Macaca fascicularis: one gene and its partners. The protein of the gene in region 5 binds, or shares a complex with, the protein of the main gene of each other region. Links are inferred from orthologs where the notes say so. Each region holds a gene or a part of one and is shown on either strand. Other genes may lie near its edges.

Evidence for each region.
Region 1: PIGQ (region 5) and PIGA share a complex: the UniProt entries of both Homo sapiens proteins name them as parts of the glycosylphosphatidylinositol-N-acetylglucosaminyltransferase (GPI-GnT) complex. The link is inferred for Macaca fascicularis from reciprocal best matches to the Homo sapiens genes PIGQ and PIGA.
Region 2: PIGQ (region 5) and PIGH share a complex: the UniProt entries of both Homo sapiens proteins name them as parts of the glycosylphosphatidylinositol-N-acetylglucosaminyltransferase (GPI-GnT) complex. The link is inferred for Macaca fascicularis from reciprocal best matches to the Homo sapiens genes PIGQ and PIGH.
Region 3: PIGQ (region 5) and PIGP share a complex: the UniProt entries of both Homo sapiens proteins name them as parts of the glycosylphosphatidylinositol-N-acetylglucosaminyltransferase (GPI-GnT) complex. The link is inferred for Macaca fascicularis from reciprocal best matches to the Homo sapiens genes PIGQ and PIGP.
Region 4: PIGQ (region 5) and DPM2 share a complex: the UniProt entries of both Homo sapiens proteins name them as parts of the glycosylphosphatidylinositol-N-acetylglucosaminyltransferase (GPI-GnT) complex. The link is inferred for Macaca fascicularis from reciprocal best matches to the Homo sapiens genes PIGQ and DPM2.
Region 6: PIGQ (region 5) and PIGY share a complex: the UniProt entries of both Homo sapiens proteins name them as parts of the glycosylphosphatidylinositol-N-acetylglucosaminyltransferase (GPI-GnT) complex. The link is inferred for Macaca fascicularis from reciprocal best matches to the Homo sapiens genes PIGQ and PIGY.

The regions. Positions count from the first base shown.
Region 1 is NC_088395.1:15,133,792-15,137,291, forward strand, and holds part of PIGA (phosphatidylinositol N-acetylglucosaminyltransferase subunit A), read right to left. Parts: intron 2,963-3,500; 5' UTR 2,901-2,962; coding exon 2,186-2,900; intron 1,496-2,185; coding exon of another isoform or gene 1,448-1,495; intron 1-1,447. UniProt on the Homo sapiens protein: Catalytic subunit of the glycosylphosphatidylinositol-N-acetylglucosaminyltransferase (GPI-GnT) complex that catalyzes the transfer of N-acetylglucosamine from UDP-N-acetylglucosamine to phosphatidylinositol and participates in the first step of GPI biosynthesis.
Region 2 is NC_088381.1:135,501,309-135,505,256, reverse strand, and holds the start of PIGH (phosphatidylinositol N-acetylglucosaminyltransferase subunit H), read left to right. Parts: upstream 1-1,148; 5' UTR 1,149-1,218; coding exon 1,219-1,398; intron 1,399-3,948. UniProt on the Homo sapiens protein: Part of the glycosylphosphatidylinositol-N-acetylglucosaminyltransferase (GPI-GnT) complex that catalyzes the transfer of N-acetylglucosamine from UDP-N-acetylglucosamine to phosphatidylinositol and participates in the first step of GPI biosynthesis.
Region 3 is NC_088377.1:9,901,903-9,906,181, reverse strand, and holds the start of PIGP (phosphatidylinositol N-acetylglucosaminyltransferase subunit P), read right to left. Parts: upstream 2,801-4,279; 5' UTR 2,537-2,800; coding exon 2,463-2,536; intron 2,153-2,462; coding exon 2,049-2,152; intron 1-2,048. UniProt on the Homo sapiens protein: Part of the glycosylphosphatidylinositol-N-acetylglucosaminyltransferase (GPI-GnT) complex that catalyzes the transfer of N-acetylglucosamine from UDP-N-acetylglucosamine to phosphatidylinositol and participates in the first step of GPI biosynthesis.
Region 4 is NC_088389.1:16,050,654-16,054,828, forward strand, and holds the start of DPM2 (dolichol phosphate-mannose biosynthesis regulatory protein), read left to right. Parts: upstream 1-1,375; 5' UTR 1,376-1,415; coding exon 1,416-1,418; intron 1,419-2,032; coding exon 2,033-2,122; intron 2,123-2,897; coding exon 2,898-3,000; intron 3,001-3,767; coding exon 3,768-3,826; 3' UTR 3,827-4,175. UniProt on the Homo sapiens protein: Regulates the biosynthesis of dolichol phosphate-mannose. Regulatory subunit of the dolichol-phosphate mannose (DPM) synthase complex; essential for the ER localization and stable expression of DPM1.
Region 5 is NC_088394.1:1,334,782-1,337,060, forward strand, and holds the end of PIGQ (phosphatidylinositol N-acetylglucosaminyltransferase subunit Q), read left to right. Parts: intron 1-108; coding exon 109-170; intron 171-738; coding exon 739-891; 3' UTR 892-1,779; downstream 1,780-2,279. UniProt on the Homo sapiens protein: Part of the glycosylphosphatidylinositol-N-acetylglucosaminyltransferase (GPI-GnT) complex that catalyzes the transfer of N-acetylglucosamine from UDP-N-acetylglucosamine to phosphatidylinositol and participates in the first step of GPI biosynthesis.
Region 6 is NC_088379.1:94,070,560-94,073,309, reverse strand, and holds PIGY (phosphatidylinositol N-acetylglucosaminyltransferase subunit Y), read left to right. Parts: upstream 1-1,350; 5' UTR 1,351-1,445; coding exon 1,446-1,661; 3' UTR 1,662-2,250; downstream 2,251-2,750. Other genes in the region: PYURF (protein preY, mitochondrial), read left to right, coding at 1,209-1,350. UniProt on the Homo sapiens protein: Part of the glycosylphosphatidylinositol-N-acetylglucosaminyltransferase (GPI-GnT) complex that catalyzes the transfer of N-acetylglucosamine from UDP-N-acetylglucosamine to phosphatidylinositol and participates in the first step of GPI biosynthesis.

The DNA of each region.
Region 1 (3,500 bases), on a different chromosome or scaffold from region 5:
ACCTCCACTTAAATGGACTGCTGGGTCAATCAAGGTTCTCCATTCCAAACGTAAACTGACCAAGGCCCACATCTAGATTTTAGGCCACTCCCTAGCACACTGGCACACCACTGAGCTCAGTGCTTATCAAGAAACAGTTGTGTTTGTTCACACATCTGTTTGATGTCAGTTGTACTTGTCATCGTGTTGAGTAATTTAATTCAATATCACATAAACTGATAAAAAGAGTTTCTACAAAAACTAAGCTGAACAGTTTGAAAAATCCAATAAAGGAAAGTCACAGAAAAAAGTTCTTGGCAGATGAGGGGTGTCCTAAACTGCTGTATAAAACTGAAAACAAATTAAAATTCCTGAAGCATATCAGTTCATATGCCTTTAAGTTCTGACCCCACTCAAAAGAAACTCAAAGTAGCAATGGTAGATTATGTTTTGTGAAAGGGAGTGTACAAGATGCAGCTGAAACCAGTGGCCCAGCACTCAAAGCTGGCAGTCCTACATCCAACTACTGGCAACTCAGTGTGTATTAATATTTTGAGTTAAATTCAAATATTAAATATTTAAGGGGGTATGTTTTTTTTTTTTTTTTAATGATTCCCTACTATAAATGACACTTTTGATTAGTGGACAGGTTTTCAAATAGCACTCAGAAGACACTGTTTTTTATAACCAGACTGTGTCAGACTTTTAGTAAACAAGCCTCCACACATTCAACTGCAGTGTCCATTAAGTGCTGTAGAGGTACAAAAAACAGCCTCCTTGGCCAGGCGCAGTGGCCCATGCCTGTAATCCCAGCATTTTGGGAGGCCGAGGCAGGCGGATCACGAGGTCAGGAGTTTGAGACCAGCCTGGCCAACACAGTGAAACCCTGTCTCTACTAAAAATACAAAAAATTAGCTGGGCATGGTGGTGGGCGCCTGTAATCCCAGCTACTTGGGAGGATAAAGCAGGAGGATCGCTAGAACCTGGGAGGCAGAGGTTGCAGTGAGCCAAGATTGCACCACTGCGCTCCAGCCCAGGGGGTGACAGTGCGAGACTCCATCTCAAAAACAAAACCCAAAAAACCTCCTTGATAATAGTGGATAGTTACAAACTAGGCTAATAGTTTATAGGAACTATCACTGAACCCTTCCGAGGTTCCCAATGTTGCTTAAATTACACAAATGAAAAAAACTGAGACTTAGAGATGTTAAGCAACTTGTCCTCAATCACACAGCAGGACAGACCCATCATCTGATCCCGGGACATCTAATCCCCTTTTCTTCATCACTTACCTGCCAATATGTTATTAATGTCTTATACATGATGAAATGAAACAAGCAAGCTACAATACAGTAATGTGCAGAGCAAGCCCACTCACTGATTTTCAGTATATGTACGTACACATAAAAAAGACAGGAAAGCTATAAATCAAAATATTCATTAGGGTATCTCTGAATAATACAGTTACCGCTGATTTTAGTTTTCATCTTTGTGCTTTTCTTAGTTTCCAAAATATCTGCAATGAAAAGACATTACTTTGGCAATCAGAAGAAAAAAGCCATCTGTGACCTCTGCCCTTTACTTCTTTTTTTTTTTTTTTTTTTTTTTGAGATGGAGTCTCGTTCTGTCACCCAGGCTGGAGTGCAGTGGCACGATCTTGGCTCACTGCAAACTCCGCCTCCCGGGTTCACACCATTCTCCTGCCTCAGCCTCCCAAGTAGCTGGGACTACAGGTGCCCGCCACCGCGCCCTGCTAATTTTTTGTGTTTTTAGTAGAGACGGGGTTTCACCATGTTAGCCAGGATGTTCTCAGTCTCCTGACCTCGTGATCCGCCCACCTCAGCCTCCCAAAGTGCTGGGATTACAGGCGTGAGCCACCATGCCCGGCCTGCCCTTTACTTCTTTACCACATGTGCAGGGCTGTTTTTATTTTTAAAAAGACCTGAAATGTAACAGCATCAGGTTATTGTTCTTATTTTTAGTAACCATTAAAACATCAAAGGTTGGGGGACAGCATTCACCACCATCCTGAAAAATCTCTCTTCTTGGATATATAAACCAATATTAGAACTTTCTTTGCTATAATTTATAGCATTATAAAACCATAAAACAAAATGAAAAGCCAAACAATCATTACATACAAGTATTCAACAGCTTTCTACAGGGAAAAAACTCTACAATGCAATTATAGCTATCATTTCATTACCTTTTCTGTAAACAAGTCTGCTGACAACAACAATAGTTATACTATCATGCCTTCTAAATGGGTCTGGAGTGAAGTCAGTAGGATCTACAGCATTAGGAATGACGGATACTATTTCAGGATTCAGTGCTGCTCTTAGTACAGTATTTTCCTTACTAGTATAAGACACACAAATGATGTGGTTTGTATCACAAAGAGACACGGTTAGAAGCTTGTTTGTAAGCACCGAGCTGACATCAGCAAATCCAAAAAGGGAATGATCCGTGAAGACTGTCTGAAGCCCCATTGTCTTGGCGTGGAAGAGAGCATCATGGGCCATGGCAGAAAAAGAACTATGTGAATGGATTATCGTGACTCTCTCCCGAACGAATATGTACCTGAGCAATGGCAGACTGTGAAAGAGGGTCGTGGCTGTAGACTGGTTGTACATGACTTTCAGAGGCAAGTAATAGACTTTGAGGCCATTAGTGAGGTAACGGATGCCTTTTCGATTTCCATAAGCATGGGTGACAATTATAACCTTATGCCCTCTTTCAATCAGGCACTGTGAGAGCTGGTAAATGTGGCTTTCCACGCCTCCCATATTTGGGTAGAAAAAGTCAGATACCATGCATATATTATGGGCATGGGTTCTACATGTGGAAAGACTTCCAGGGCTAACCCGAGAGGGTGTAGCTGAGGCACGGTGGCCATCCCCAGCTGTTCCTCTACAGGCCATACTGAGATGGTTTAGGCATCAGTTCTTAGAGCAACCCAGTTAAGAGATGTGTCCTCTATTACCTGAAAAAGAGTAAAACAGGATCTCAGCTCAGAAACAAAACACATTCCTATTACAAATCCAGATACAGATACTGTTTTAATGTTAATGTAAATTTGTTAGCTTTTCCCCAGAATTAAAAACAAAGCATATCATCAATTTACTCATTTGACGTTTACTTGCTTGGCATTTATATACAACAAAACTAGGTTCTACAATGTCTTAATTTCGTCCTAAAAACACTGCTACATGTGTAACTTTAAATAGTAAGTTTGTTACACCACAGCATATCATGGTCCCCAACAAACCAGTCTCTTCCAATAATTAAGTATATACAAACACCATCCATACACACAGGTTTACATATTTCCCCTTTACTCTTACACTTTACCAGCTTCTATTAATACTTATTAAATGGCCACTATACATCAGCCACTACATGCTAAGAGTCTTCTATATCTTATTGCAGCCTCACCAAAACTCCATGAGTTATCAACTCCATCTTAAAAATGGAAAGTCTAAAGCTTAAAGGGGTTAAGAAATTTGTTCAGTTACTCAGTG
Region 2 (3,948 bases), on a different chromosome or scaffold from region 5:
TCCGTACAAGACCCTCTTGGATCTGACCCCTACCTACCTCCCCCATTTCCAACTGTTTTCCTCACATATCAACCTTTCTGGCCTTTTGATTATTTCATTAAGCCAAGTTTGTTCCAATTTCGAGGGGTTTGTCTTTCCTGGTCTTCCTTTCTGGCAAATTCCTCCTCCAGAGCTCCTTCAGTCCTGTCTGGTTCCTCACCCTTTGTAACTCCAGTGTCCTCTTAGAGACTTCCCATGACTGCCCTATGTAAAGTCCTCAGTCAATCCCTGCCAGTCAGCATAGTATTGCCAACAATATTCTCAAGTTATTTCCATATTGTCTCCTACTAGAAAGGAAGCTACTTGAGGGCAGAGACTGTCATCAACATCGTTCACTGCTGCATCCTCAGCACCTCAAACTACCCGGCACAGGAAAAAAGTGGAATGAATACCCGTGGACTCTTCTTGCGTCTTTCCGGCTTAGAGAAATCACCTTGCCAAGCAAAAGCGTGATTAAAACTGTGGGTTTGGGCTGGGTGCGGTAGCTCACGCCTGTAATCTCAGTACTTTGGGAGGCCGAGGCGGGCGGATCACCTGGGGTCAGGAGTTCGAGACCAACCTGGCCAATATGGTGAAACCCCGTCTCTACTAAAAACCCAAAAATCAGCCGGGCATGGTGGCGCACGCCTGTAATCCCAGCTACTCAGAAGGCTGAGGCAGGATAATCGCTTGAACCCGGGGGACGGAGGTTGCAGTGAGCCGAGTTCGCGCCATTCCATCTCAAAACAAAAACAAAAAACAAACTGTGGATTTGCTTGTTTTTAGACAGGGTCTTGCTCTGCCGCACAGATTAGAGAGCAGTGGCATGATCTCGGCTCACTGCAACCTCGACCTCCCAGGCTCAAGCGATCCTCCCACCTTGGCCTCTCAAAGTGCTGGACTACAGGCGGGAGCCAACGCGCCCGGTCTAAAAACGGTTTTAATCCGTCCGCTGAACTATTGCCCCCGACGGGCTTTGTTCGAAGACAATCACAGAAGCCGGGTCAAGGCCGGCCCGGACGAATGCACAGTCATCAACCCCACACAGGGTTCTCGGCGCGCAACTGAGGCTGCGCAGGCTTAGGGCGGGGCATGGTGACGCGGCTGCCGGAAGCGGGTCTGGAGCAGGCGAGACGCCTAGAGCGGGCGATCGCTGTGGAGCGCCGCGCGGTGCGGTGCTGGCGGCCGAGTCGGGGCATCATGGAGGATGAGCGGAGCTTTTCGGATATCTGCGGCGGCCGCCTGGCCCTGCAGCGCCGCTACTACTCCCCGTCCTGCCGGGAATTCTGCCTCAGCTGCCCTCGGCTCTCGCTGCGTTCGCTCACCGCTGTCACCTGCACGGTGTGGCTGGCGGCCTACGGACTCTTCACCCTCTGCGAGGTAAGGGCAAGTCGGCCCCTCCCCGCGGTCGAAGGAGGGGGTTCGGCTTTGGGAGGGTCTTTGGGATCTTTGGTCGAGCCCGGACCTCTGGTCGGCCCCTCCTACAATGATAGAACAGAAGGGCGGGAACTCACGGGTTCTGGGGACGACAGGGGACGACATTCCGCTGCTGGACAGCTCTTTAAATGACGTTTAGTGAAGTGTGTGCTCCTGGACAGTACCTTCCCTCTCCGTGGCTGTGCTCTGCTCGGTGGGTTCACTCAGCACACATCTAGTTCTTGCACGACGGTATAAAACTTTAACTTGCATGTGTTCTATGTAGTATAGGCGCGCAGTAATTTAATTCCAGGAGTTCAGGGAACTCTTAAGTGAGTCTTCCTTGTCCATCACTTCTGCTCCTCAAAGTAGTACTGCTAACAATACTTTATGTAGACTTCCACAAACTGTCTTTGCCTCCACAAGTGTGTGTGTTTATCCGTGTGTATAGATAGTGTTAGAGTTCTTCCTAATCTCTGTTTTTCAAGGCAGTTTTTTAACCCTCCGTCCTCCCAAACCCTTCCCCAATTTCAAGTACTTTCTAAAGGATTATGAAATTTTGGACGTGTGTGATATCTGTGCTCAATTTCCAGATTCATTCCTGTTTTCTTTGAGCCTCAATTTTCTATATCTCTAATAATAGAATTCATGCCTGCCATACCAGCTTCATGATATCGTGAGGGTTAAATGCAGTAACTTTGTGACAGCTCTCAAATAAAAAGAATTATCCCAGTTTCCCTTTTCAGGATGAGTTCTAGTTTCATATGTAGTGCCTGAATTGAATGTATTATCCCAGAAGTGATCTTATCAGAGCTAAGTACAGCAGGGCTATTTATTTCTGTAACTTGGATATTGTTTCCATTACTGCATCCATTAGCTTTTTTGCTGTCAAAGCATGTTTCAGAGCATGGTAATTTAGCATAGAAATATGCAGAATTAAGACTGCCCTAATTGTAGGAAACTGTATCTAACTGTATCTAAACTGTATGTTTGTTCAGGCGAAGGGCTGTACCTCACGCCTGTAATCCCAGCACTTTGGGATGCTGAGGCGGGCGGATCACTTGAGGTCAGGAGTTCGATACCAGCCTGGCCAACATGGTGAAACCACGTCTTTACGAAAAATACAAAAATTAGCTGGGCGTGGTGGCTCACGCTTGTAGTGCCAGCTACTCGGGAGGCTGAGGCGGGAGAATTGCTTGAATCTGGTAGGCGGAGGTAGCAGTGAGCTGAGATCACGCCACTGCACTCCACCTGGGCAACAGAGGGAGACTCTGTCTCAAAAAAAAAAAAAAAAAGAAAGAAAAAAGTTTATTCATAAGTCTGTTAAAATGATTAAGTTGATAGCCCCCCTAGAATTTAATTTACAGTATAGTTGAATTTTAGTACTAGCCTGAGTTTTTTTTTTTTGAGACAGAGTCTCGCTTTGTTGCCCAGGCTGGAGTGCAGTGGCGCGATTTTGGCTCACTGCAAGCTCCACCTCCTGGGTTCACACCATTCTCCTGCCTCAGTCTCCTGAATAGCTGGGACTACAGACACCCGCCACCACACCCGGCTAATTTTTTTTGTATTTTTAGTAGAGACGGGGTTTCACTGTGTTAGCCAGGGTTTCACTGTGTTAGCCAGGATGGTCTCGATCTCCTGACCTTGTGATCCTCCCACCTCGGCCTCCCAAAGTGCTGGGATTACAGGCGTGAGCCACCGCGCCCAGCCTAGCCTGAGTTCTTATAGCCTATGTGTGTGGTCATGTGAGGAGGAGGAAATAGATATTTATTAAATGCCCACTGAGTGCCAGATGCTTTTCTGAATTCCTTACTTTAGCCCTAGAACGAAGAAAACCAAAGCTCACAAAGAAGGGTGAGTTATCCAAAGTCTCAAAGCAGTAAATGGCAGATCTGGGCTTCCAACCCAGGGCTTTCTGACTCTGAGACCCTTTCTTTTCCTTTATACCATTGTATAGTTGATCTTAGGCAAAATTTAAAAACAAAAATCTGTTTTTGTGCCAGGTCCCTTCTGTACTTATCTCTCTCATCCTGGTGTACTCTGCTTACCCCTATCAAGTACCCCAGGACTCAGTGACCACATCTTCCTTTAAACTCTACTGCAATACTTTCTAAGGGCTCTGTGTGCCAAAATTTCTTACCTTTCCTATTCAGAACTGCTTATGAGAGTAATGAATATCTGGAATGAGAAGAAATCTGATTGAAGGAATTCATTCAAACATACAGCTTAACCCCAACCCAAATGAATATTGAATTGTTTCAATTCTACACAGTAAAATGAAGTTGAAAAAAATGCAGATAGTAGGGCATGGATTGCTCTTATTGGAAAGCTGACGTGATCAAATCCTTAAGGATTTACTGTTCTTCATCCCTACATTCCTTCTTGTTTTTAAGTTCACAGTTCTATTAAAGTTCCAGGTTGTTCCCTTGTTTATTCCAACCTGGAATGTTCTTCCCCCTTCCCTTTCAACTAATTATATTGGTCACTAACCACCACCTCCCCTGCACCAATTAA
Region 3 (4,279 bases), on a different chromosome or scaffold from region 5:
GTGAACCCGAGAGGCGGAGCTTGCAGTGAGCCGAGATCGCGCCACTGCACCTCCAGCCTAGGCGGCAGAGCGAGACTCCGTCTCAAAAAAAAAAAAAAAAAAAAAAAAAAAAAAAAAAGACACAGCAGCACATTAAAAGGCCCTCCTTCCACTCCGTATCCTCCTTCCCCTTGCTTAATTTCTCCCCATGGTACTTTATCACCTGATACTGTATACGTTTTTCTTATTTAATTTGTCCATTGACTATCTCCCCCCAGCGTTAGAATAAAAACTCTATGAAAGCAGGGCATTTTTGGCTGTTTTGGTCCTTCCTAGCCTGTAACAGTGCCTGGCACATGGTAAGCACCAATAAATACTTGAATTACTTTTTGGTTGTGTGTATCATGGAATTTAATTTTTTTTTTTTTTTTGAGACAGAGTTTCGCTCTTGTTGCCCAGGCTGGAGTGCAATGGTGCGATCACCGCAACCTCCCCCTCCCAGGTTCAAGCGATTCTCCTGCCTCAGCCTCCCAGAGTAGCTGGGATTACAGGCATGCGCCACCATGCCCTGCTAATTTTGTATTTTTAGTAGAGACGGGGTTTTTCCATGTTGGTCAGGCTGGTCTCAAACTCCCGACCTCAGGTGATATGCCTGCCTCGGCCACCCAAAGTGCTGGGATTACAGGCGTGAGCCACTGCGCTGGCCAGAATTTAAGTCTTAAAGTGATTGCTTTTATTTATTCATATAGCTTCTAATCCTTGATACATTCTTTGAACAAGGATTTACGAAAGTTGCTAACAATAACATCAGTAGCTAACACTTATTAAGTCCTTAACCGTTCCTAGGCATTATTTTACATGCTTTACATAAATTACCCCGGTTAATCCTCACAACAGTCAGAAGAGGCAGCAGAGTGAAGTCAGTCGGTGTATTTGGGTTCAAATTTAGAGGCCTATCATTTAGTAGCTTTGCAATCTTGAGTAAGTTACTGAAACCACAGGATGCTCATCTTTAAAGGACAATAATAACAGAACCTACCCCATAGAACTGTTTCATGTGTCATAAGCATTTAATAACCATCATTATCACTAACCTTTTACAGATAAGGAACCTGAGATTCAAAAAATTTGCTGAGCGTCCCAGCTCACATGGGTAATCTGTGGAGGAGTCAGAATTTGAACTCAGTTGTAACTTCTTCACTTCATTTCAGTTGTAACAGCCTGGCCATTACATTCATCTGCAAGCTGTACTGATGGTGCAGGCTGATATATTTTAGTTAGGGTTCAGAAGTACTACCACTCCTCCACTTTCCTAGTTTCCAAAGAGTTGCAAAACGCTGGATCAGGGGCACTCAATTTTCTCCCTCTTGTGTGCCTCAAAATTCCCAAATCCTTTTGGGGAGAGACTTGGGGCTTGCTGTGTGACTGAGCATACTAGTGTCTCAGTGAGCGTCAGTCTCCGTATCTGTAAAACGGAACGTTATGGGGATTAAGGGAGATCCAGGACGAAAAGGACACACCTTTCAACCTGACTTCTCTGGGCTACTTCTTTTGTTCCCCAGATCCCCGCAGGGCACACTGGTGCCATACCAAGCTCCTCGGGTCCAAACCCTCTCACGCCCTCATTCACGGCCTTTCCACGTCGTCCCTCTCTCCTACTCTTTTCTAACCAGCATCAGTGCCAGGGGGAAAGGCCTCTGTAAAAGCCTTGATTTTCCAGTCTGGTTTCAATGTCTCTCCACCGTGCTCCCCTGACACTGAGCACTAACTGTAGATTTACTCATCTGTCTCCTCCACAAGACCACGACCTCCTTAAGGGCAGGGACCAGGCTTTATTCACTTTGCCATCGCGTCTGGCGCTGTATAAATATTTGTAGAGACTAAAACCTCCTAGGCTAGTGCTGGCACACAGAACACTCAACAAACACGAGTTCCCTTCAGATTCTCTTAAAAAGAGACATAGGGAGAAAGAATCAACAGTTCATGTGTACACAGTCTAACCAATGGATTCTTCCCTTGTCACTGAACGCCAGAAAAAGCCCCTGGCCATCCATCAGGAAAGTACTTACTGAAGCCAAACTGGGAGCTTAAGAAAAGAACAAAGCCATAAATCGCTCTTTCTGGCAATGGCGACGGTGAATTTTCCACCATTTTTCCTGGGGCTTTAGACAACCTGTGGAAAAGGAACACAATCAGCCATCAGCGAGGTGCTCCCCGGCACCATTGGTCCATTCTCGCCCCATCGCTCCGCCGCGGGCACGGCCCCCGCCGCACAGAACCGCCTCCCGCGCCCCCGTCCGCAACCCGCGCCCCCGCCTCGCGCGCACACAGGCACCCAGGTTGGCGCGCGCCCCGCAACAGAAGGGGTGGCGGGGGATAGGGCAGCGAGAGGGGCTCGGGGGGACAGAGGCGCGCTCCAGCTCTGCCAGCGTGGTCTCCCTGTGGGAGGGGAGGGCAGGGAACAAGGCTCGCGCGGCGCCCACCAGCACGCGGGCCTGCTGGGTCGCGGCGCCCAGGCCCCGGGCCCTGCCCACTCGTGGAGATTTATATTTCTCATTCGAGGCAGGGTATGGGGGGGCCCTCGACCTCGGGTCCTTCGTACGCCCACCCGGGCCCCTCTCGACACCTCGGCCACCTCAGCGCTGAGTTCTCTGCGCAAGGGCCGACCAGGCGCCGCAGTGGGGGAGAAAAGAGGAAAACCTGAGGGAAAGGCCTAGGCGCAACGACACCCCCCACCTTGGCGCAGGCGCACGAGGACCCTCCCTGGGTGGGAGCCGGGCGGCACGAGGCCGGCGTGATCCCGCGAATCGCCACGGCGAAGGAGGGGGCGGTGGGGTGCGACTGCGCAGGCGCGCTGCCCGCCCACGTGATGCACCTCCCTTCAGCGCAGCCGCCCACTCCCTCCCGCCGTCGGCTGACGTGGAGGGCCGGAGGTGCCGGCTGCGGCGGCAGCAGCGGCGGAGGCTGCTGCCTGCGCCGAGGCTCGCGGGCGGCGGGCCCGGGTGAGTGCACACCCGGCGCGCGGCCGGGCTCCCGGATGTGTCACCTTGTCCCGCTGCAGCCGAGATGCCGGGGGAGTGGGGCATTCCACACCCCCTCCGTGGGTGTGTGGTGAGTGTGGGTGTGTGCGCGTCACCCCGCGTTCCTCGCTGCGGTGCCCGCTGTGTGTCTGCATGGGTTGGGGCCCCGCGCAATGAGGGGGTGTGGCCGCTATTGCCTGCCCCAGTGGGTTTGTCCCCTTGGTCTGGTGCCCTTTTGCGAGCGAGGCCCTGGGATGCCGGAGCGAGGGTGGGAGTAGTCGCTTTGTGCGCATTCCCCCGCTGCCCGTGCCTCGGCCGGTGCGTGGCTGACACCCCCTGCTGGGTGGAGGGGCCCGCGCTCGCGTGTCGCCTCGTGGTCCCCTTTGTGTCGGTGTCCGCGCTCCCTGGCGGCTGCGGGGGCGCTCTCGGCCTCGCGGGTGGCCCCCCCTTTGTGTCACTGCCCATGTCTGTGGGCTGCGCGTTCCCCAGCGCGCGTGGCCGCGCCTCCTGTAATCGCGACCCCCGCCTAGAGCCTTGCTCGCGCGAGTGTGCGTCCTCGCGTGTCTCCGAGTGTCCCCAGAGTGTCTGCGCATGGGTTCTGTCGAGTGCGTGATCTCATGTGTGCGGGTTTAGTTTTGTCGAGTGGGTATCTCTTGTGTGCGGGTTTCGTTGGTGCGTGTTCGTGAACGTTCGTGCACATCCCTTGCTGTGTGTGCGTGTGTTCACGACTCTGTTGTCACCTGTTTTCGTGTGAACTGGCAGTCCAGTCCAGGGCCTGTCCCTACGGAACGGACCCAGGAGGGGGGTAACCTCGCCGCTCCCCTCGCCCCCGCGCCTCTTTCTGAGCATCTTCCCCCACAGACGCTAAAGGGAAGGGGGGTGGACAGGATCGAGTCTGGCGAGTTGCTCCGCAGTGTTGACGCTGCCAGTTGCTCCGCAGTGTTGACGCTGCCAGTGTGGCTTCTTCAGCCAGCCTGTTCAGGGCACAGAATAGAGGGATCAAAGATAAAAAATGGAGCCGAGACAGGTGAATTTGGGCTGGTACCAGTTCGCCGTGCGTTTTCAAACAGAGGCGCCCTGGACGTCAGAACCCCCTCAGTTGCAGAGACCTTTCAAAATATATGCACACGCCTGCTGGGCGATGCTGTCCTTAGCCGTTCTTGATGATATTTAATGGTTTGTAGAGTATTTTATGGCATTCACCTAAATCGCTTTCCATTTTGCCCAACATCCTGGCGAGGGAAACGAGGTAGAAATCTTACAGATTTTACTCCTGCGGA
Region 4 (4,175 bases), on a different chromosome or scaffold from region 5:
GGCCGAGCGCGATGCTCACACCTGTAACCCAAGCACTTTTGGAGGCTGAGGTGGGCGGATCACCTGAGGTCAGGAGTTTGATACCAACCTAGCCAACACGGTGAAAACCCATCTCTACTAAAAACACAAAAATTAGCTGGACGTGTTGGCACGCGCCTATAGTCCCAGCTACTCGGGAGGCTGAGGCAAGAGAATCACTTGAACCCAGGAGGCGGAGGTTGCAGTGAGCTGAGAACACGCCACTGCACTCCAGCCTGGCCGACAGTGAGACTCCCATCTCTGGGGGAAAAACAAAAAAACAAAAAAAACCTCTTACTTTGGGCCAAGCCTCCACGGGGTGCCAGGGATACAGCAGCAATCTCAGATCCTACCCTCAGGGAGCTGACAGGGCCGGATGAACAAGTGTGTCAGTGAATTAAAAGGCACAGGAGGCTGGGCACGGTGGCTCACGCCTGTAAACTTTTGGAGGCCGAGTTGGGAGGATCGCTTGAGCCCAGGAGTTCGACACCAGCCTGGGTAACATAGAACTCCGTTTCTAAGAAAGAAAAAAAACCCTTCCCAGCTGGCTTCCCTGGGGAACGTGGCGTCCCAGTGAGGCTGGATGGATGGGGAGCAGCCGGCCGGTGAGTGGTGGGGGCCCGCGTTCCTATCTCGGAGCTGAAGAAGCGTGGAAGATGATCTGGCCCAACATCCCTTTGTTCTCAGAGGAAGGATCCTCCAAGATCGGGGAGGGGCCTGTGCGTGGGTTCTGGTCCGAAACATGTCTGGGCTGCTGCGAGAGGCAGCCGGTGAAGGAAAGGAGGGGACATCCAGAGGGTGGCCCAGGAGGCCAGGCGATGGTGAGGAGGGCGCCCCCTCTCCACCAATCCAAATCCTCCCCATTCATGCGGGCTGGGGACAGACCCTCCCCCGCCCATCCTAGGCTGAAAAGTGAACATTCTCTGCGCCTCTCCCACCTACAGACTAGTTACGGCCCCCCAGTTCCCGTGTCGGCTTCACCACTGACTCGGATTGGGATCTACCTTTCTCTGAGCCTCGCTTTTCCCATCTGAAAAATGGAACTTCCGATCCCGCACTCCCATCTCACTCTGACCCCAGGACTTTGGGATACTTAGAGATTGGCTTTTGGTGGGGCGGCGACAGGACTGTGGCCATGAAGGCCAGGGAGTCTGGGTCCCCAACTCGGTCCCATTCCCTAGGGAGATTCGGGCAGCAACCGGCCCCACAATGCTCTTGAGAACTACACTTCCTCGATATGCAAAGGGGAGGAGGCGGTTCCTGCTAGTCTCCGACGACGTGGGCCTGAGCCGGCCTGGGGACTACGACTCCCGGCGCGCTCCGCAGCCCAAAGCCGGAAAAGCGTGAATCCGGAACCGGATGTGGCTTGCGGCTCCGGTGACTGAACGCGCGGGGAAATGGTGAGATTGGGACAGAGTGCCGGAGATAGGGGCGTCTGGGGGTGGGGTCTCGGGTACTCAGAAGCTGGGGCATGGGCACTGGAACGGGGATTGCTCTCCCGCCCCCCCTATTGTACGGACGATAACGCGGAGGCCTGGCATTCTCTCCCAGCCTAGAAACTGATCCCTAGTCAGCCCTCTAGCATCTTTTTTTTTTTTTTTTTTTTTTTTTTTTTGAGACGGAGTCTCGCTCTGTCGCCCAGGCTGGAGTGCAGTGGCGGGATCTCAGCTCACTGCAAGCTCCGCCTCCCGGGTTCCCGCCATTCTCCTGCCTCAGCCTCCCGAGTAGCTGGGACTACAGGCGCCCGCCACCTCGCCCGGCTAGCTTTTTGTATTTTTTAGTAGAGACGGGGTTTCACCCTGTTAGCCGGGATGGTCTCGATCTCCTGACGTCGTGATCCGCCCGTCTCGGCCTCCCAAAGTGCTGGGATTACAGGCTTGAGCCACCGCGCCCGGCCTCCTCTAGCATCTGTTGAATGGGAAGCTTAGACCGTGATTGGGCCGCGACGCCCCGCCTCCATTAGTACGCCAAAATAGAGAGTCACTTCGTCAGCTGAGACCTCCCTTTTCTCCAGGCCACGGGGACAGACCAGGTGGTGGGACTCGGCCTCGTCGCCGTTAGCCTGATCATCTTCACCTACTACACCGCCTGGGTGATTCTCTTGGTATGTCATTCTCCCCGTCCGCTGCTCACCTTCCCGTAGCCCTGGCACCGCCAAAGCAACTTCTATGTAGGTTCTAGGCACGGCGCTGGCTTCATTGCCTGCCTTATCTCTTGAAATCTTCAAAACAACGCTATGAGGAAGATGCCAGTGGTGCCGCATTTTTTAGATGAGATAGCTGAGGCTCGGGGAGAAGGATCTGGCCCAAGATTGCATCCTTAGCCGCTACACTTAAAACTCTGTTTCCAGCTTGCTTTGACTTTTGGGGGAGTTATGTTCCTTCTGGGTTAGCCTGCTGACTCAGGCATGGCGAGCGCCAGTGATATCTGTGAAGGCCTTTAGGATATTTTTTTCTTGTGGGAAAACGTGTTGGTCATTGCTTAAGAAGTGCAGTGTGTTTGGAAGTGCAGAACTTGCTATCCTTTAGGGAAAAAATATTAGTGAAGAATCCCTGGAGGCCCAGGTTGGGAGTCAGTCGAGGATTCCTCATGTACTATTTGCTAGCCTGTGAGTGCCTTAGGGCTGGTCTCTTGTCCCCTGTTCTCTTGTCCCCACCACCAACCTATGGCAGGCACCAAAGCAAGTGCCCGGTAAATACCAATAAGAAATTAAGGAAGGAAACAAACCATGACACCCAAATGCCATAATCTTAAAGAAAAGCAAATGCAGGCCCAGTGCTCTGAATGGGCCAGCCCCTTAGATGCTAGAGGTGGTGTGTTTGGGCTTGGGGGCTGGGCAAGGCGAGCAAGGCTCACCAGAGCTCTGCCCTCGATGCCAGCCATTCATCGACAGTGAGCATGTCATCCACAAGTATTTCCTGCCCCGAGCCTATGCTGTCGCCATCCCACTGGCTGCAGGCCTCCTACTGCTCCTGTTTGTGGGTAAGTCATCACTTCCTCCCCTTGACCCCGGGCAGGGTTTCGGGGGGACCCCACCTCTGAACATGCTTCCACACTTTGGCACTGCTGGAAGCTCCTTGCCCCGAACTCACCCCTGGGGTTTTCCTGTTCATCCTTCGAGGTTGCCAGTCAGTAACCTCTGGGTTTCCTGGTGCCCCAGGCTTTTTGGACTCCAATGACCTGTCCCCCTCTTTCCTGCCCCCAACCCCATCATTGCTCTGCTCACACCTCAGTCACCCTCTTGTCACCCTGGCTTCTAATTCCTGCACCTCTCTCTCTCATGGCTTCCTAGGGGCGGGGACTGTGTCTCCATCATTACTGTGCATCTAGAATGGGCTGTGGCACTGAGGTTGTGCTCAGAAAGTCATTTGGATGAGTCAGTCAATAGCCGGGTGCCTGGATGATGGGTGGATGGATGGGTGGGTGGGTGAGGTATAGGAGGTGGGTAGGTATATAGGTGGACAAGTGGTTGACTGGGTGATCTATAGATGGGTGGATCTTGTTCCCCTTGGAATCTGAAACACTAAATGCAGCATCTTTGCCTGAGGCAGGCACTCAGCTGGTGTTTGTTGAATGAATGTGAGTGGACCTATGGCTTGACGAATGACTAGGGAGATAAGCAGGTTCCCTGGAGAGTGGTTGGGTAGGTTCACAGCCCTGCGTGTGGGTGGCTCTGCTGTGTCGTGCCCTGGCCTCCCAGCAGCCCTGAGCTTAGATCTTATGTGGCCTTTCTGGTCTATGTATTCCAGGACTGTTCATCACCTACGTGATGCTGAAGAGCGAGAGGGTGACCAAGAAGGCTCAGTGAAGGTCCCGCGGGGATGAGGCTGCCAGCCCCTTCTCTGCTTCCCCTCCAGCACAGGGACCAAGTAGGGGAGCCTGCAGAACCTGTCCAGGCACAGTGGCGCCTCCAGCCTGCCTGTCCTGCAGAGTCCCCATGACATGGAGCTTACCCCTGCCTGACCGGAGCCCCCTCCCTGACTCTCACTTCCAGAAGCTAGGAGGGAGGAATACCTGGAAGACTCCAGTCACCCCCTTCTTGCTCAGGGCCTAAAAGATGCTGGTCTCCCAACCTCACTCTCAGACTCCCTGCCACCTTTTCCCCCGGGTTTTGCCATGTTGCCTCACTTCCCCTCCTGTCACATGCTGACATTGGA
Region 5 (2,279 bases):
CAGCAGCACCTGGGTGCCCCTCAGAGAGGAAGGTACCTCCAGCCTCTGCCCATGCGTGGAGCTGGCCCCCACACGTCCTCCCTCGTAAGCCCCTTGCTATTCTTGCAGCTGGTGTGAAGTTCCGTGTCCTGCAGCATGAGGCCGGCAGGCCCCTCCGCCTCCTGATGCAGGTGAGGCCCCCTGTGGCCAGGACGTCCTATGCTGCTGCCCCTGTTCTGGAACAGTGGGGTCAGCTGGGTGTAGTGTCTGGATGGCACCATGCCAGCCTGCGATGAGGCACAGGGAGGGTCCAGTGGAGCTGAGGGGCAAGGCCCACCCGGGAATACCCCCCCTTACCCGCAGGGCCTGAGGACACTGGTGTCCTGTGGATGGGGCCCATTCTGCCCTGTGTCAGAGGCGCCCTTGGCTGGCTGGGGCTGCCCTGGGTCCCACAGGGCTCAAGTTCTGGGTGGAGTAGAACCGACTGAGTGAGTCCTGGAGTGGGGTGTGTGTCCCTGCAGCACGGCCCCTCAGAGTTGGGCAGCCCCGAGGGGAGATGCAGCTCCTGCCTCCCCACAGTGCTCCCTTCTGGCTGCAGGCTCACCTGCCTCCCTGGGAACTGGGACCGGCCTGTCCCACAGGCGAGGGAATGTCTGGGACGGTGCTGGCCCTGCCCCACCACTGCCTGCCCCCGCCCTCTCTCTGCAGATGGGGTTGGAGCTCAGACCACCCCGCTGACCGCCGCCCTTGTCCTTCCAGATAAACCCACTGCCCTACAGCCGCGTGATGCACACCTACCGTCTCCCCAGCTGTGGCTGCCACCCCAAGGACTCCTGGGGTGCCCTGTGCCGCAAGCTGTTCTTTGGGGAGCTCATCTACCCCTGGAGGCAGAGAGGGGACAAGCAGGACTGAGGGAGCCGGCCGCCGGCTTGCCCAGAACCACTGCACAGCCACGGCCAGCCCTCTGCCAGGGTGGTGCCAGCTCAGCTGGCGCGCGGCCCGTGCTTTGTGGACGCTGCTGTATGCTCCCGAACACAGCAGGCCCTGCTATCACACCTTGGGCTTGGAGGTCATTGGGGGTGAGCAGATGTGGGGGTGGCCAGCCCAGCTGGCCGCGCTCCATCACTGGCACTGCCTGCCTTGAGACCCGCTTCCCGCCTGCTGCAGTCACCACGGTGGCGAGCACAGCAGCCCCAGGTGTGCAGAGCACTGCCCCATGCCCACCCTGCGTACCCAGGTCCAGAGGGCCCGGGCCCTGACTCCCTGAACCACACGGGGTTTATTTGCTGATGTTCCCTGGAGAGGTCGCTTTGTGAAGGAGCTGTCAGCAGGCCGTGGGCATTGCCAGGCTGCTGTGGGGGTGGGAGCAGCCTTAGTGTCAAGGGCCTGCCCACTGACCCAGCCATACCTCTCCGTGAGTGGTGCCCCTGCAGCAACAGGCCCTTGGGCCAAATCTCCTGTCTCCCATCGTGGGCCTCCCAGGGAAGGCGGAAGCCCTGCTGTGCAGACACGTCTGTGGGCCACGGGTGTGAGCAGCCTGGGAGGGGCTGTGGCACTGAAGCCAAAAGTGCCTGCCAGACAGCACGGCCTGGGTGCGGGGTTCCCTTCAGGAGGGGAGGCTGCAGGTGCCGGCTGGTGAGGGGATGACGCGCTGTGGGCGGGAGGAGGCAGCGCCCGTCTCAGCAGCACCAGGACCACTCCGGACTCCCTGGCGACCCAGCACTGGGGAAGCCGTCAGCTGCTGTGCAATAAAACCTGCCCCGTGTTTGGAGCGCAGGCTCCGCCCCGGGTCCACGTGCACCACGAGTCCAGGGAAGCTCCAAGGTGGGGATGCGGACGCTACCCGAGGGATTTGGGCTGCCTCACGTGGGCCTGCCCTGCGGAGTCGACGCCAGTTTCCTGCTCGAGGCCCTGACGACGGCTGATGGGATGAGCTCGCAAGTCCTGGGCCCCAGAGGACCTTGGTGTAGGCGGGTGAACCCGGGCCCCCCCACCCTGGGGTCATGGCCTTGCCCTGACATAGATGGCGCAGGGGTGTAGGCCTCCAGGGGCGGGGCGGGGCGGGGCGAGCAGCTCCAGCTCTGGGTCTGTGGAGTCCATGCGGGGTGGGGCCCTCATGGGTCCTGGCCCAGTAGAGCCTGCAGCTGCCACATCTGCTAAGAACGGTCTCCGTTGCCTGCAGTGCAGGGGCCCACCTGGCAGGCCCCACAGCCCATTCCCGGCCCGAAGTGTACAGGCTTCCATCCAACCTGGACTTCCAGGCAACCAGAGGCTGGACTCAGAGGCACTCGGAGCCCACC
Region 6 (2,750 bases), on a different chromosome or scaffold from region 5:
CGCGACCGGCTGCTCTTTGCAATCACCCGGGGACCGTTTTAAAAATGCCGATTCCCCTGCAGCCCCCAAGACGGGCAGACTTGGAATGCTCGGGGGTTGGGACCTGAACATTTGTATTTTCTTTTTTTCCTTTTAAGAGACAGGGTGCCCCCCTACGTTGCCCAGACTGGCCTAGAACTCCCACCTCAGCCTCCTCAGGAGTCGGGAGACAGGCGCCGCCGCCACGCCCAGCTTATTTGTGTTCTTAAATGGTCCCTAAATGATTTCTAACGTACCACCAGGTTCTTGAATTACTGCGATTCAGGACAAGTCCAAAGCCATCCGGTTTTTAAGCCAAGATAATGAAAAGTATTTTACCCTCCAGATTCTTGTGAAAGTGTCTTGTACAACTGGTGCCTGACAATCTTAAGCAATTCAGCTGTGTATGCTGCCTGGTGGCTCTTAGTTGTGGCCTAGCAGATTTCTTAGAAGCCTCTTTAACCTAGTTTTTGGGAAGACAGCTCTACAGTTTCCAAGCTCCCAAAAATGGAATATTGACAACACTAACGCTAGTATTACAAATCGCATAAACGAAACACCAAAACGTTGTCAGTGGTTATCTTTGAGTGGTAGATTGCTAGCAATTTTTCATATTTCTTTTTTCCCATAATAAACATATTCAGTTTTCTCAAACCTTGAAATTATTTGATTTGCGTTTATAACTAGCTCACGGCAGACTTACTGCTTTCCAAAGTTTCCTCATTTCTGCCCTCTCACCTTTTCCAGTGATTTCCTTCTAATGGATTAGTTAAGTTTTTCTGCTTAGCATTTATTCTAAAACGAAGAAGTTGATTTTTCTCTAGTGTTTATTCCAGTAGTAAATTAACAGAGATGATTTGGGGGTTGACCAAAGTAATGAAGGAATATTTGGATAAGAGAGGGGGATCTTTTCTGACTAGTATGAAAAAAAAATTAAAGAATAACTTGTGAATAAGGTGAAAAAGAGAATATGAGAGAAACTGACTAAAATGGGAATAATTATAGATTCTAAGAGAATTTTTCTAAGATAAAAGGTTGAATTGGCTATCGTTGCTTTTAATGAAAGAAGACTATTCTGGGATTAACTCCATACCAAGAATTGGATAAATGATGGTATTTGTTGAAAATCAGGCTCTTCAATTATTTTATTTTTCCACAACTCATTTTGTTCTTTTTTTTTTCCACCCCAGATATGAAGCATCAACAAATGAATTGATTAATGAAGAGTTGGGAATAGCTTATCCAATCATTGATGGGATTCCTAATATGATACCACAGGCAGCTAGGATGACGCATCAAAGTAAGAAGCAGGAAGAAGTGGAGCAGCGCTAGTTCATAATTAAAAAAACATAAAACGCAACAGCCAACTTTTCTTAGTACCATATACCTTTTAAAACACAGTGGCAGGTAATAAGTGGAAGAGAAGAATGTTTCTGTCTCTTCCTACATTGACTGTTCTTATTCCACTGGTTTCTTTAACAGGACTGTTCTACTCAGCCTCTGTGGAAGAAAACTTCCCACAGGGCTGCACTAGCACAGCCAGCCTTTGCTTTTACAGCCTGCTCTTGCCTATTACCATACCAGTGTATGTATTCTTCCACCTTTGGACTTGGATGGGTATTAAACTCTTCAGGCATAATTGATGCAACTAGAGTCAATATGCTGTATACATTAATGGTAGTTCTTGGGCATCTATCTCTGAAAGCTCAAATGGATGGAATTGAGTTTGTGGGAAAGAGGCTTTGCTTTGCGCATATCAGGCTTAGGACTGTGGGAGGCTTAAGTTGCAGGTGCTTCTTTTATTGTGCTCTTGTTCTGCCCTTGTTTTTTGAAGGCTCTGACTTATAACTGCTGTATCAGAAGAAACATTTTGACAGTGTCTTGTTGGAGATAAACATCCCTAATTGACATGTGATGACTATTTCTTATTCCATTCATCTAAAAGTCATTGAAATTTTGTTTTGCTTGTTTGTTTAGCTTCAAGGTCTTTGGTAAAGTCACATGTTAGGGATGACTGAAATAATTCCAAAGGAGTGATGTTGGAATAGTCCCTGTAAGGGAGAGAAATGCATTTGAATGAATGTGATACAAAACCATATAATGAAATAGAAATTTCATGTACTTACAAAAATTGAGTTTGTAAAATTACCTTCATTTCTTTGACATTAAATGCTTATATTAGCAATAAAGATGTTGACACTTTCCCATAAAAAATAAACCAGTTTGTAATCATTTGTTTTGTTTATTTGTTTGGTCACAGAAGTGTTATTGATACTAAGGGAAGTTGTAAAACTGCACTAAATATAGCTGTGTTGAGAGAGGTACTTAATACCTAAAATAGAATCATTTCCTAGGAAAGTAGGGGGTGGGAAGACTTGCAAGTAGTGGATTGTGCCCTGTTGAGCTTAGAGCCATATTTTGAGCCACATTTCAGTTTATTTTCCCAGGACGCTGAATAACACCACTAAGGGCATGAGCATCGACACATTAATAGCCTCTGATTTTCCAGAACTTTCAGTAAGACTAATCGAGCATAGTATAATACTTCTGAAGTATAGTGTGTTTCAGTAGTTAACCCAGAGAAACCAAAGAACCGAATACAAACTTTATTTTTATTGGAATCTTATGTTAACAGAAACCTGAAACAGTGATTCTTCTGCATCAAAAAATTAAGACATGTTAGATGTGTTTTCTTTTGAATTAATTCAGGGTATACTGTAGTATAAATGACA